Linked DNA regions of Diceros bicornis minor. The protein of the gene in region 2 purifies or fractionates together with the protein of the main gene of each other region. This does not show direct contact. Links are inferred from orthologs where the notes say so. Each region holds a gene or a part of one and is shown on either strand. Other genes may lie near its edges.

The links.
Region 1: the proteins of CDK5RAP3 (region 2) and PIP4P2 purify together in Homo sapiens (affinity purification with mass spectrometry; 3 studies listed by BioGRID and IntAct, counting the BioPlex papers as one, with this or other methods). This does not show direct contact. The link is inferred for Diceros bicornis minor from reciprocal best matches to the Homo sapiens genes CDK5RAP3 and PIP4P2.

What each region holds. Positions count from the first base shown.
Region 1 is NC_080760.1:10,725,233-10,732,927, forward strand, and holds the start of PIP4P2 (type 2 phosphatidylinositol 4,5-bisphosphate 4-phosphatase), read right to left. Parts: upstream 3,422-7,695; 5' UTR 3,361-3,421; coding exon 3,255-3,360; intron 2,806-3,254; exon of another isoform or gene 1,920-2,805; coding exon of another isoform or gene 1,835-1,919; intron 1-1,834. UniProt on the Homo sapiens protein: Catalyzes the hydrolysis of phosphatidylinositol-4,5-bisphosphate (PtdIns-4,5-P2) to phosphatidylinositol-4-phosphate (PtdIns-4-P).
Region 2 is NC_080757.1:38,083,748-38,091,170, reverse strand, and holds the start of CDK5RAP3 (CDK5 regulatory subunit-associated protein 3), read left to right. Parts: upstream 1-4,111; 5' UTR 4,112-4,114; coding exon 4,115-4,117; intron 4,118-6,026; exon of another isoform or gene 6,027-6,127; intron 6,128-6,612; exon of another isoform or gene 6,613-6,966; intron 6,967-7,311; exon of another isoform or gene 7,312-7,325; intron 7,326-7,423. UniProt on the Homo sapiens protein: Substrate adapter of E3 ligase complexes mediating ufmylation, the covalent attachment of the ubiquitin-like modifier UFM1 to substrate proteins, and which is involved in various processes, such as ribosome recycling and reticulophagy (also called ER-phagy).

The DNA of each region.
Region 1 (7,695 bases), on a different chromosome or scaffold from region 2:
TTATAGTGAAGTATATAACCACATTCCCATATTCAATACATAGATAATTAGACAACCCCAAATATAAACCGGTTTTCACAAAGTAAATCTCATAAATTTAAAGGTCATATTCTTTTACCATATCCTACCTATAAAATTAGCAGATGTATTAAAAAAACAATTAAATATACGCAAATTGTGTACGTTTTGTGGTATTTCTTCTAATCTCCTTGCAAATGAGCCTAAAACTGTCAGATTTTGATTTCTATGCCTTAACAAAAGCTGACAAGTGTACCACACGGAGCATTATAATGGGAGAGCTGATCTCCTACTCCGCAGGAAGCCGGCACTGACAGGAGACCATTAGGAGCATTCCACTTAGAAACCCAGGTGGAGTGTCCTCACTGTGCTAAAACCAGTCACAAAATACTAACTGCTCCCCTTTACATTATCAATAACCTGGCCAGATATAAACACTGCACCAACTTTCAACTTGAAATGGAACATTTCATCTTGGGGTGGGAGCTAACATGCCTGTTCTTAGAAGATGACACAAATAGCAAAGGGTTGGATTGGACAAAATATTTGCTAATTACAGCTCTTAACTACTTTTGTGTGTGTGTGTGTGTGTGAGGAAGATCGGCCCTGAGCTAACATCTGCCAATCCTCCTCTTTTTGCTGAGGAAGACTGGCCCTGGGCTAACATCCATGCCCATCTTCCTCCACTTTATATGGGACGCCGCCACAGCATGGCTTGACAAGCGGTGCATCTGTGCGTGCCCGGGATCTGAACCGGCGAGCTGGGGCCGTCGCAGCGGAGCGCGTGCACTTAACCGCTTACGCCACCGGGCTGGCCCCTCTTAACTACTTTTTTTAAAAATAAAAGTCTGAGAATCATAAACCAAATTTCATTATCAAAAAGTACATTCTATTTCTGATCCTTTGAATCCCAAGCTTTGACTCTACTTGTCAACTAGGGAAAACATCTGGTCTAGTGACAGAGTGTTTCTTACAATCCGAAATAACTGAGCCATGTGTTGACTTATTCTGTCTCCCGCTATAGCGGGGGCTCCACGAGGCCTGGGTTTGGTCAGGCTTGTCCACCCAGCACAGTCTCGGCACACCGTGCTGCAAGATGAACCACTGAGGGAGTGAGGAGCGCTGGTCTAGTAGAACCAGATCTCGTGTGTCATAACATTTATGAAGATACTTATTTTGTTATTTACCAGGAAAAGATATGCTGTCAAAAATGCAAATAAAATGCCTTTACTTCTCATTTATGCTTCTTGCTTCCTAGGTATTATGCCATATAAAATGAGTGTTTCTAATTATTTAACCTGTTTCATTCACCAGTTAAGAAAAAAATGTATTCTACTATAAGGCAGAAAGAGCCTTTTGCTAAACCATTGAATTTCTCCAGCTGTTAGAAGTTTTCTGGAATGAAACTTCTTTCTCTCGGTAGCTGAACTGGAACTTGTTACCTTATTGCCTAGTTGGAGGAGTTTTATCAGATTAAACAAATATATGGCAACTGATAAGTCTACAAGCAGATCCATGAGTACGACCATTTTTGTGGAATAATTTAGCCACTAGCTGACTAAAAGTACAAAAACATAGATGCAGAATAGAGGGCGTGAACATAGATGCAGAATAGAGGGCGTGAAAATGGGTTACAGGATAGTGGCTTAAATCCAAACTCTGTCTCTTAATAAATTGTCAAAATTTTTGTCTTAAAAGGGTGACTTGATGAAGTTGAAACATTCATTGATAAGTATTTAAACCTATTCTAGACCATACAATTTAGATAACAGTAAAATATTAATATCAAATTTGCCCATTAAAAGAAATTCCCTACCTGGTGTTCTCTGACACAAGTGTAATGCTGACCAACAACGATGACGTGTGGGTTTTCTGCGGGTGAGTCCTGTTCCGTTTTGCATCTTATTTCTCAACTCATAGATCACACTGAATTATTCACAGCTCAACATCTTCTTCCTTGGTCCTGCTTCTTGTTAAGTTAAGGATTAAAACTAGATTGTTGCTTTTTAAGTTATAACATGTTAAATGGAAATTTTAAATACTAGACAAGTTCAACCTGATTTACAGCTGCTCCAATTTCTGACTTGAACTTAGAAAAAGTTGCATTACAAGAGACATGATCCACCCATATTTTCAAAAGCATTAATGTTTGCCTCCTTGGGTTTTTAAACTTCTCTCACATTCAGCCAAAAAAGAGAGAGACGCACTTAAGCTACGCTGTCAAGTGCCGTATTTGACCAATCTTTTCAGTACTCTAAGCGGTTTTTTAAAGTCTTGCCTTTCATTTGCTATAACTCTTGACCCCACCTTATTTCTCCTATAGGAATCAACTAAAAGGCTTAGAACAAAGACAGATTCTTCGAATAAACTGAATAGTTTGGTAAATAGATCCCCCCCTTCTTTCTCCAGATCTCATTGCCATCAATGGGATTCTATCTTGAGAAGAAAAATAGATACTTATTTCAATGTTACAGTATTAACTTAGGTTACTTTTTAGAAGTTATTTTCAATCTCACCCAGATATGCATTGAAAACATCCCATCTTCCCTTCTATTCCTCCTCATTCACAACTAAAGCTAACACACACTCCTTACAAGTAGGAGTAATGAGGAAGGGCAGGAATTTCAGACATATTAGGAATATTGATTAACTCGTATTCCTTTTGGTAAGGCAAAATCCTGATTGAACAGATCACTGGTGGATGAATGGTAGGAGATGCATATTTTCAACCTAAGCCCTTTCAAGGACAGATGCCAAGGTGAGCAGTATTCCGGGTTTCTCAGCAACCTGAAAGGATTTGTGAATGATTGTGAAAGATTTGCACCACCTCCCAGCTGCACTTAGGGGCTGCTCTAAACAGCAAAGCCCAGTTTGGGAAATCCATGTCACATCCTGTACCCTGGGGGTAAGAAGTGGTGAAACACACACAGGCACACACACCCCACAGGCACCAGTGGGTAAGAAAGGGTGAAATAAATACACACGCACCCACACACACATCCCACACCAGTGGGTAGGAAGGGGTGAAATAGACACTCACACATCCCACACCACGCCAACCAGAAAGCCCTGCGGTGAAGCTCTCAAGCAGGCAGGCTCTGCATCTGAAGGCGCAGTCAGCATCCCCGTCTCCCAGCCCAACTGGGAATCTCTCCTCCGCCTCGGAGCTAGAGCTCCCTAGTCTTGTACATTCTAGGCTGTTCTTTGCGAAGTACAAAGGTCTATGCTGGCCTTACCTCTGGGGCTGCTTTCTTGTAAGTACGGTGGGGCCGTGGGAGTGACATTTCCCGAATGGGATGCTGACAGCAGAGGCGAGCGTTCGTCCACCCCGTCAGCAGCCATGACTGCAGCAGCGGCGCAGCCGGGGCAGCTGAGCCGGGTTGCGGCTCCGGCGGAGGCGGCGGCCAGTGCTGCCGCTGCTGCCGCCGGCGGGAGGGCCCGGGATGTGTCACACGGCAGGAGGCGCGGGAGGGGCCGGCGCGGGCCCGGGGGCGGGGGGAGGAGAGCGCGCCGGGAAGCGGGACTGGGGGAAGGGAGGGCAGAGAGGAAGAGCGAGCCGGGGGAGGGGAGGGGGAGGGGAGGAGGGGGAGGGGGAGGGAGGGCAGAGAGGAAGAGCGAGCCGGGGGAGGGGAGGGGGAGGGGAGGAGGGGGAGGGGGAGGGAGGGCAGAGAGGAAGAGCGAGCCGGGGGAGGGGAGGGGGAGGGGGGAGGGGGAGGGGAGGAGGGGGAGGGGGAGGGAGGGCAGAGAGGAAGAGCGAGCCGGGGGAGGGGAGGGGGGAGGGGAGGGGGGAGGGGGAGGGGAGGAGGGGGAGGGAGGGCAGAGAGGAAGAGCGAGCCGGGGGAGGGGAGGGGGAGGAGGAGGGAGGGGGAGGGGAGGAGCAGGAGCGCGGGGAACACAGAGGGCCGACTGCGACAGCGGGGAGGGAAGGTGCGAAGTAGCCTAGTGGCCTACGGGGAGCGGGGGAACGGGAAGAAAGGGCTACGAGTCTTTTTCTCTTTGTGCTTTACATTTCCCTAACTGAGGAGAGGAAGGGTAGGGGGCAGCGCGAAAGGGGTCAGAGAAAAGGCCTGTGGCTCGATGACAGGAAAAGCTACGGGAAACGCACAGCTCGAGTTCAGCTCCTCGCGGGAGGAGCAGGGACTCTGCTGTCAAACTTTGCAGCAATTATCCGAGGAACGCTTTTCCTAGGGTTGTCGAGTCCTTCATGAGGGCTGCTTCCTTTGTTATGAAGTCATTTTTCACCATCTGCCGTCTAAGAGGAAGTAGATTTTTTCATGAGTGGTGCCATTCCCTACTTTTCCGTCTTAATTTTTAATACCTGTTTGGCGCTCTAAAAACAGTACCTTCTTGAAACAATGCGTAATGTGTTGGCTTTTACAAGTTTCATTTTACAAAATGGGTTGCCATTTTAGTTTTATTTTTGTATTGTATTGTCCCTGATACATATACAATAATGCAATTTATGAATAAAATAAGACAATTAAAAAATTTTTATGGAGCAAATGTTTTAAAATAATCTTTCACAGTAAAAGAGAATTCAAAAGAAAAACTAGGCCCAGTCTTGTCTTGCTTTCTGTGTTTAGTTTATTTATTTCTTTTCTTTTTTTGTTGGTTTGCTAAAGTGATTTAAAAATCAAAGTTTTGAACATGCCCAGATAAAAATGCAGTAGGAAAATAGTCATGGTCTCCAATGATAATTTCTCAGCAAGGATTCTTTGAGTCAGTCAACAAACATTTATTACACGACTTCTGGGTCAACAAAGATGACGAGGGCATGGTCTTGATCCTCAAGATGCCTGCAAGGTAGCAGTCAAAAACAAACCAAAAATGAGGCTGGTAGTCTCAGCTGTAGATTTAAAGGGGCATGAGGGAAAGCTGACTTTAGACATTTGAAACCACCACTCACATTACATTAAGAAGGGTCGTCATTTTGCTCTCTGAAGATACTCCGTCTTCTGAAAAATCCATTTAGGCACCAGCTGGAAATCCTAAGGGAAAATCAAAGAATAATGTCTTCTATGTGCAGCATCTTCTGTGGGTTAGTAGTATCAAGATACAATACAGTATAAAGATCCCCAGATGACATAATCCAAGGGCATTTATAGGTCTCCAGGAACCTAGAAAGTTCCTGGAGTCAAGATGTAGCACTTCCTGCAAAAGTGAACAATTTACAAAATAGACAGCATTTCAAATTACAAATTGTTTTGTATTTACAAACAGAATTACAAAATGTTTTTACAGTTGCAGCCTGGAAGCTATTGAGTTAAAGAAACTTTTAAGAAGAATCAACAAAATCCTATTACTCGTGTCCTATCATGTCCCCATCACACTCTGTTGTAACAGTGTATTTACATTTTCATTACTCACCCACCCTCTATCCCCAGCTGACTTTGTGAGATCAGAAACCATATCTGTCTCATTCACTATTACATCTCCAGTATCTAACACAATGCCTGTCACATTAGTAAGCGCTTAATAAATATTTGTCAAATAAATAAACAAATGAGTACATGAACAAATCCTAGACAGTCCCAGAATCTTACTATAACCAATTGCTAACAAGAAAAAAGCATTTCTTGACTTTTTGATGAAGATGACCGTTTTGCCATCTGACTGACCAGTGTTTTTATTGTTCCATTATAGCTTTACAACCAGGGTTTCTTTATTGTCCAGGTAATAATGATCAGTGTAAAGGTTTTTTTCTTTCTTTACTTTTTTATACCGCTTCTCTGTCCATTTCAGAACTCATGTGAGGGTGATACAGCTAATGGCCATTATTCTTCTTACACTATAAAAGGTAACGGGTATACTGAGATTATATTTGCAGCAATGTCAAGTTTCACAAAAAGTAAAAAACTTTGATTAGATGAGTATTACTTCATTCTAAGGATAATACTATAGTTCATAGTTACTCAATAAATGTTAAATAATACTCATCAATCCAAGGCATGTTATGGTTATGATACTTTGCCATCTCTATTCATGAGATGAGCTAATGTGTCTTTGGAATAATAGTACAGTACAAACAGATAATGTGTGAGCTAGTAAGAGATATATCTTACTACTCACCTAAGCTACTTAAGCTCCAGTTCCAGATATTTACTACTGAGTGACAATAAACACCAAAATCCAGGCTTAAAACAAAATGATTTGTTATTTTTCATGATTCTGCAGGTTGATTGAGTGGTTATTCTGTCAGTCTTGCCTGGACTTACTCAGGCAGCTGCCTTCAGCGGGCAGGTTGTCTGGGGGCTGGGCTCAGCTGAGACAGCTGGGATGGCCAGGCATCTCTCTCCATGTAGTCTTTATTCCAGGCTTCTTCACATGCCTGGTAGTCTCAGAGCAGTATTCTAAGAGGGTGATTGTGGGAGCTATGGCATATCTTAAGATCTAGGCTCTGGATCTCAAATAATGTCATTCCATCACATTCTTCCACCTCCTGCAGTGTGCCTCCTGCCCAAAGAGAGTTGGGGGCCCAGAGACTGCTTTACACGATCAAAGGAAGTCACAAGGCCAGTAGAGGAAGAGAGTCCATCTCTTCATAGAAGGAGTGGCAGTGTCACATTGCAAAGGGGTGTGGGCCACTGGGAGGCATGATTCGTTGGAGGCCATTATGCAGCAATCTCCCATAGTCTGTCCTCTGGCCACAATGGCTTATATCCCTCTTACGCGCAGACTACACTTACCCCATTCCCAAGCCCCCAAAGTCTCATTTAATCACCAAAGTCAGCTTTGTGTATCTTGTCATGTAAATCAAGTCCAGGTGCAGACAAAGCTCCTCAGGTATGATACCACAGGTTCAGCTCTTTGGGTACAGCACCTCTTGACCCAGATTGCTGTGAACTAAAAGACAAATTATGTGTCCTCCTCATCTCTGCTCAACTGTTCCCCAACATTTAATGGTGAAACAGGAACAGGATAACAGCAATAAACACTCCAATTTCGTAAGGCAGGGTGTAGGGGGTGATGTGCATTCAGAATGGAAACACTGAACCACAGAATTCTGAAATCCAGTTGGGCATATGTCACCAGCTCCCTTGGCCCTAGAGCCAGGGAATTCTCCTTTATTGGGGCCCAGTTCTGCTCCTAGTGTTCCTTGGTTTCCCCACCTATTGGCCTCCTTGACTCTTGGCCCTGTCACTGAGTCCTTTCTTTTCCATTAGATATGGCTCCTGTTTGCAGCTGAGTAGTTTTCCCAGCCTGCCTCTTGTCCAAAGAAAGTTGGGGGTGCAGAGGCCTCTTTTCATTTTGATCTGTCTCTGTCTCTTTTAATCTAAATTGACACAACTCTCTTAAAAACTTTGTAGGCTTCTTGTGAATCTAACTGGGGTTTACCTTATGCCCTAGAAGACACAGACATAATTTTTTTTTTTTTGAGACAGGTTATCTTTCTATGTTGGGCCACATTTGAGGCCTTGTGGATTCTTAGAAGCCCCTGTGTCCGTCTAAGGAAGTCTCTAAGTCACTGCCTTGAATCTTTCAGAGGTCTTAAGGTGTTTTACAGCAATCCCCTTGATTTGAATTTTATCCTGAGGTCATTTCTAACATTAAAAATCTTTTGCTAGGGGGCCGGCCCGGTGGCGCAAGCGGTTAAGTGCGCGCGCTCCGCTGCGGCGGCCCGGGGTTCGCTGGTTCGGATCCCGGGCGCGCACCGACGCACTGCTTGGTAAGCCATGC
Region 2 (7,423 bases):
TCTGCTTTCTTTTTCCTGCCTTCTTGTAGGCTACTTAAACATTTGTTAGAATTCCATTTTGATTTATCCATAGTGTTTTTGAGTATCTCTCTCTATGGTTTATTTTAGCAGTTATTCTAGTTATTACATTATATATTATGTATATCTTATCATAGTCTACTAATGTTGTCATTTTGCCAGTTAGACTGAAATGTAGAAAACTTACCTCCCTTTATGTCCCTTTACCCTCCCCAATTTTAGTATCATCTTAAATATTTTCTCTATATACATTTAGAACCACATCAGACAGTATTATAATTTTTGTTTCAACCATCAAACATAATATAGAAAACTCAAGAGGAGAAGGAAAGCTTATTGAATTTACTCATATTATGATTATCATGTACTTCCTCCCTTCCTGATGTTCCAAGATTCCTTCTTTTGTAGTTTTCTTTCTGTTTAGAAAACTTCCTTTAGTCATTTTTTTAAGGGTAAGTCTGCTGGTAACAAATTCTCTATTTTCCTTCATCTGAAAATATCTTGATTTACCCTTCATTCTTGAAGGATGTTTTTACTGAACATAGGATTCTGGGATGACAGTTCTTTTCTTTCAGCACTTGGAAAATATGCCATTTCCTTCTGGCCTGCATGGTTCCCGATGAGAAATCCACTGCCATTTGAATCGTTTTTCCCCTATAGGAAAGATGTTATTTCTTTCTCATTACTTTTAAGATTTTTTTCTTTGTCTAGTTTTCAGAAGTTTGACTGTGATACGTCTTTGTGTGGATTTCTTTGATTTTTCCTAATTATAGTTCACTCAGCTTCTTGAATCTATAGGTTTATGTCTTTTGTCAAATTTGGGACACTTTCAGCCATTAATTCTTTGAGTACTTTTTCGACTCTGTCCTCTTTCTTCTCTCCTTCTGGGACTTAGATGATAGGAGTGTTAGATCTTTTGTTATAGTCCTACAGGTCCCTGAGGCTCTATTCATTTTTGTTTTCAGTCTATTTTCTCTCTGTTGTTCATTTGGGTAATTTCTATTTTTCTATCTTCCAGCTCACTGATTTTTTCCTCTATCTCTTCCATTTTGCTGTTGAATGCATCCATTAAGGTTTTTTATTTCTGTTATTATATTTCTCAGTTCTAAAATGTCCATCTGGTTCTTCTTTATGTCTTCTGTTTCTTTGCTGAAATTTTCTATGTCTTTGACGAGGCTTCCTATTTTTTCATTTGTTTTGAGCATGTTTATTGAAGCATTTTTATCATGACTGCCTTAAGATCTTTGTCAGATGGTGTTAATGTGCCTGTCATCTGTGTTGGCACCTACTGATTTTCTTTTTTCATTCAGTTAGAGAACTTCCTGGTTCTTGACACGACAAGTGACTGTCTACTGAAATCTGTACGTTTTGGGTATTGTGTTATGATACTCTGGGTCTTATTTAAACCTTCTGTTTTTAGCTGGCTTCCTCTGACACTGCTCAGACAAGGAAAGGGTTGGCACCCCTCCTTACTGTCAGGTGAAGGTGGAAGTCCAGGTTCTCCACATCATCTCCGCTGACACGGTGGTGGTTCTGGAGGACTACTCTCAGTGGGCATGAACATCCTGATTCCTTATTCAGCCTTTCCTTGACATTACTCCAGTGGCTTGAGAGGAGGGAAAGTCAGTTACCTCCTTACAGCCTGGCAAAGATGGATCTAGATTCCTCACTTGGTTTTTGCTGGCATGTGTGGGGATTAGGCCACAGATATTTTTGGTAGTGTTTGGCTGTAGTAAAGGGACTATTCTCTGAAAAGTTTTCTATATTGCTAAGCTGCCCATTTCCTTATCCTTTAGCTAGAGAGAGCAGGCTTCCATAGGGTTTTTGTTTGTTTGTTTGTTTGTTTGTTTGTGTCTGTTGGTGTTTCCAGGTTGCTGGCTTCTCCAGAACCCAGTCTGGGATATACGGGGCAAAAAGAAAACCCAGAGAACTGACCAATGTGTCATTTTTCAGGTCACAAGGTCCCTATTCTTTTCTCCACCTTTCAGAATCTTCTTATGTTGTTTTATGTATAAGATCCAGGGTTAGTTGTATTTAGCAAGATGAATAGAGAAAATTATGTCTACTCCATCTAGACCATCTGGAAACCATCTACTCCATCTGGAAACCGAACCATCCCCAATAATATATATATATATATATACACATTTTTTTTTGCTGAGGAAGATTCTCCCTGAGCCAATCTTCCTCTATTTTGTATGTGGGTCACCACCACAGCATGGCTGCTGATGAGTGGTGTAGGTCTGCACCTGGGAACTGAACCCAGGCTGCCAAAGCAGAGCACACCAAACTTAACCACTAGGCCATGGGCCCAGCCCCAATAATATACTTTTAATTATTGCAGTTTTATATTATGTTTTGACATTTGGTAGCAACCCCTCCCTTATTAATTTCTTTTTTTTTAATTGTATTGGTTATACTCATGACTTACCTTCCAGATTAACTTTAGACTCAGCACTTCAAATTCCCTTTAAAAAATCCCATTGGGTTTTTGATTGGGATTATATTAAATTTATAAATTAATTAGAGGGAGGTATCTACTGTATTAGAATATTAAGTCATTCCATCTAAGACCAAGATCTCTTTACTTTTTTTTCATGCTGTATGTCATGTCCTTCATTGAAGATTCATAGTTTTCTTGAACACTTCTCGTTAAATTTATTCTGACAGTTACAGGGTTTTTAAAACTGTAAATGTGATATTATTAACTAGCACTTTCTATTGGTAAGAGTCATTGGTTTCTATATATTTATCTTGTATCTGGCCACTGTACTTAATCTTTTCATTAATTCCTTCAGTGGCTATTTTTTTTTTTTTTTCTGTACTAAGCATCTGCTTCCCCCACATTTCTTCTGGTAACAATTACAGGAGTGCATATATAATCCAGTACAAGTCAATCACAGCACCTCATGCTCCTAGATGAAAGGTGGGCACATGACCCAAGACAAACCAGTCAAGACCCTTCCTAGGATTTTTATGGGTGATTTGACAGGGAAGAGGTTTGTTTCTTCTCTGGTCATGGAGTTGTCAGATACAATCCTAGGTACTACTGGTAGCCAATTTTCTCTAATTGCATAGGGAAGCTATTCTAATTTGGAAGATAATGAAGCTGAAACAGAGTATGAAACCAAAACAATTGAGAGAGAGAGAGAGAGAAAGAGAGAGAGCACGCAATATTTGTTCCTTGTTTACAATATACCCCTGCCTTTCCTATCCCATGAGCCAATAAGCCCCCTCTTCTTTAAATTACTTTGAGTGAGGTGGATTTATTTACAACTAAAAGAATCTTGACTGTACAGAACTGGTATCAGGAGTGGGATGTTGTAAGAAACAGAATTTAAAAGGTGAACCTGGCCAGGTGGTGTGGAAAGCAGTGAGAAACCATTCTTTGCAATTTGGGAAGATAATTATCCTCATGGAAATGGATCAGCTGGATTAACCATCTCCTGTTGTACTTTAGAGCTCAGACTGTGTGCCTAATGGCGTTGTAATTATTGGGGATTTGATAGAAAAATGTTAGATATTGAATGTGATATACTACTTGTGATCTTCAGTATGGTGCTACAAGATAACAAAAATCTTTCTTTTAAACTGGACCATAAAAAGAGATTGGATAATTAGCTTTGTTAAGAAAGATCTAGTCTGTTTGTAACCAATGACCTAAGACCACTGAGAGACAATTGTGTGCTACATGTAATTGTAAAAGCTGAATTTAATTTTCTATGCTAAAGTTAGGAGGAGTCAGAGGAAACAATCCATTATAATCATAATCTGTTTGTTTGTTTGTTTTCCATCTCTCTATTCTTCCTCAGGGTTGGATAATTCCCCTCATAGTCCCAAAGCCCTCATGACTGACGGCAGCTCCTGGGGCTACAAGCTTCCTTGTTCAATATCATCAGGAGAAACAAGACCATGCCCCAACATTTTCAGTGAGTCCCATGATTCACTCTGATTGGGCTGCCATAGATCTGGAGCCCATCCCTGAACAATCATTTTGGCTAGGGAGACAGGAACATACTGACTGGCACACCCCTAGATTTGGGGATAGAAAACAATCCCAGATTAAATCTCTTGGCTGAGAATGGGAGGGGGAAAGATGGTTTCCCAAAGGAAATTCAAGGTCTCGGTCCCAGAAAGGATGGTGGGCAAAGAACCCCAGATATCCATATACCAAGGAAGAATCTTAACCTAAGGCCTAGATGGACAGTCAGAGCCCCCAAGCCTGTTGCTAAGAGACAAACCACAAAAGCCAGGTTCAGAATCAGGTTTCATGACTGGGCAAGATTTCCAGCATTGGTTACTTGCACATGGCATCCCTAGGAATGGAAATGGCAGACAGCCAACTAGGATTTAAGGCAGTTGTGTCACCAGAGAAATCCCAAGCCTGGCAAACACGGGCCTCCGATTGCTCAACTCTGAGATAATTCCAACTCTAACTATGCCAGTGGGAAGTGGGGCACTTGAGCAGGACACCTCCCAAGAGGGGACTTCCCTTTAAATTCCTCTTGGGTCTGGCCATGGACGAGATAAATCCAGGCAGTGGCCAAAATCAGGGGCAATCAGACTTGCTAAGACACACCTGATTTCACTGCCAAGGAAGTGAGTCCTTGTAGGTCCTGCCTTCTGCCTGTGGTATTTTCCAGACTGTGGACCACTGTCTGGTATTTTCCCTTGTCCACTTTCTTTTAAAAAATATACTTAAAATTTTTTTTACAAAAATAATAAGTACTCATTTTTATAACACCAAATAATATAAAAAGTTATAAAATGAAACTTTAGTCTGTTCCTAGACCCTCCCCTATTGGATCCACTCCTCCCCCCTGGAGGGTTACACTATTAAGAGTTAGGTACGCATCCTTCAGAGGTTGTCCTATGTATGTACCTACAAGTACAAACATACATCTAAACTGTGCAAGACAGTCAAATTGAAAAATTAAAGTCTTCCTCCATCAATCTGACGCCCATCCCCCAGAAGTAATCATTTTCAACCATTTCTCTTTTTAGCCTTCCTGACAATACTTCCATAATGCCAGAAAATATGCTAATATCTCTAATTCATCGTTTCAACAATATCTCCTGACTCGCTGCAATGAAAGATAACGAGTTTAGCTTGCTTTCACTGCGTCCCTTCTTTCCCTAATCCCTGCCAGTCACATATTTACTTACCCTTTCTATTATTTAATTTTAGGACTTTAAATAACATATTTAAACATCTATTTCCTGACTTCTCTTCAGATTGTTGCCTGTACAAAAAGGACTTTATTTTATTCTCGTACCTGATTGCTATTTTGGCTGGGTATAATCTCCCATCAACATCAGTTAGGATTAAGTACAGTGTAAATAAGGGACCCAAAACAGCAGTGGCTCGAAGTTGAAGTTTATTTTCTTTCTCATGTAGAAGATTGCAGGGGACTGGGCTCCTTCCAGTTTTCTACTCTGCCACACTTAGGATGTGGTCCTTGTCTTCACGGCCCAAGATGGTGGCCTCATATTGGCTTCCAGGCAGCAGGACGGATGGAGGAAGGTGCAAAGAAGGAAGGGACAGTCACATGGCCACACTTAGCTTTAAGGGAGGCTGGAAATGTAGCCTTGCTTTTGGATGGCTACGTGCCCAGCCAAAGACCCAAGGTTCTATTACTAAGGAAGAATGGGGGACAGACGCTGGGGACACTAGCAGTCTTGCCACTCCCTCTGCCCTTTGCAGGCTTGCTCACCTTCTTCTTGTCGGGATTGTCGGTGAGACATCTGATGACAATCTGATTTTCATTTCTTTGTACGTAATCTGTTCTTTCCCCTGGAAGATTTCACATGAGAGAGAATTACATGTGCAGAAACCTTGGGGCCCGAGAATACAAATCATTTGCTCACAGTGCTGTGACTTGAGATTGTCCTTTTCTGACTCCTTCCTTCCTGTGCCCTCTGCGTTCACCCACTCAACCAATGTGGGTGCTCTCCAGCTGTGTACCTTCGGCCTTCCTCTCACTCTCCCTGAGTGACAGCATCCTCCCATGGCTTTGGCTGCCGCCCACGGGGTTGAATTCCAAATTTATCTCCACAGCTTACATCTCTTTCTCAACCTCGAGATCCAAAACAATCCAGTCATCTACTGGTATCACCACCTGACTGACCCACAGGCTGCCCGAGCTCCTCACGTGCCAGTCTGAGCTCTCCAGTTCCTCTCACCTCACTGCACAGCAATTCGCCCCTTTGCCCAAGGCAGAAACCCACAATTTCTGACCGGTCTACACCTCTATATGTTGCTTCCTCTCCCTGAACTTCCCTCTTCCTTTCTTCCCTTGATTAATTCTCATTCATCTTTCATAACTCTGTTGAGGGGTAACGTTTTTGGCAAAGTGTTTCCTGGTTTGGTTCTGCCTCAGTCTGGGTTGGGTGGCCCTCTCTTGGGTTCCCAAGCTAGCTGGAGAGTCCCCGTATCCCATCACCACTGCGACACTTTCTGATCTTCTGCACCCTCGTCTGGACTGTGAGCTATTTGATGGTAGAGATGGGGTCTTATCTCTGAATCCCCAGCATCTGGTAGAGCATTTGGCACATAGAAGTGGCAGCTTCAGAGCTTGCTGCGCCGTTCCCCAGTCACAGCCTCCGTGCCTTGCTCTACTCCAGCGCGGCAAAAATCTCCAGCCCTACAGAGACTGCGGTGCAAGTCTCTGATTACTGTTTTCCAGAGATATGCTGCAAAGGACAGGAACAGCAGCAAACTCTCCAAGACCGAGTTCCCAGCCTTCGTGAACAGAGAACTGGCTGCCTTCACAAAGAACCAGAAGGACCCTGGTGTCCTTGACTGCGGGATGAAGAAACTGGACCTCAACTGTGATGGGCGGCTAGATCTCCAAGAATTTCTTAATCATATTGGGGGCTTGGCCACAGCTTGCCATGAATCCTTTATCAAGTCTACTTATTCCCAGAGTAAATCTCAGGAGCCCTTGGGCCTGGCCTCCATACCCGCCCACCTCTTTTCCTTCCAGCCTCCCAACCATCATCTACTCCTCACAGCCCACACATACCCTGAGCCCAGCACACCCGCCACCCCATGCCAGCCACTCCTGCTGCTGTTAATAAAACAATATCGTTTTTTAACACACACACACACACACACACACACACACACACACACACAAAAGGGGCAGCTTCCATTTTTTGCTGTCCAGCTCATTTCCCATACACCTCCTGATAACTGCAACCCCGTTTCTTTGGGGGACTTCCTCCTTCACTCCACGTGGTCCTGAGGAGCTGGGAATTGGGGTGCTCTCTCTGCTTCTGCCTCCTCTACAGATATGGACATGTGATCCAGGCTGGATTAATCACAGTCTACCATGTCATTAATCACAGTGATTAGACCAACGAGTATCAGTGACCAAGAAGGACCAATCAGACTCTTCCTTGG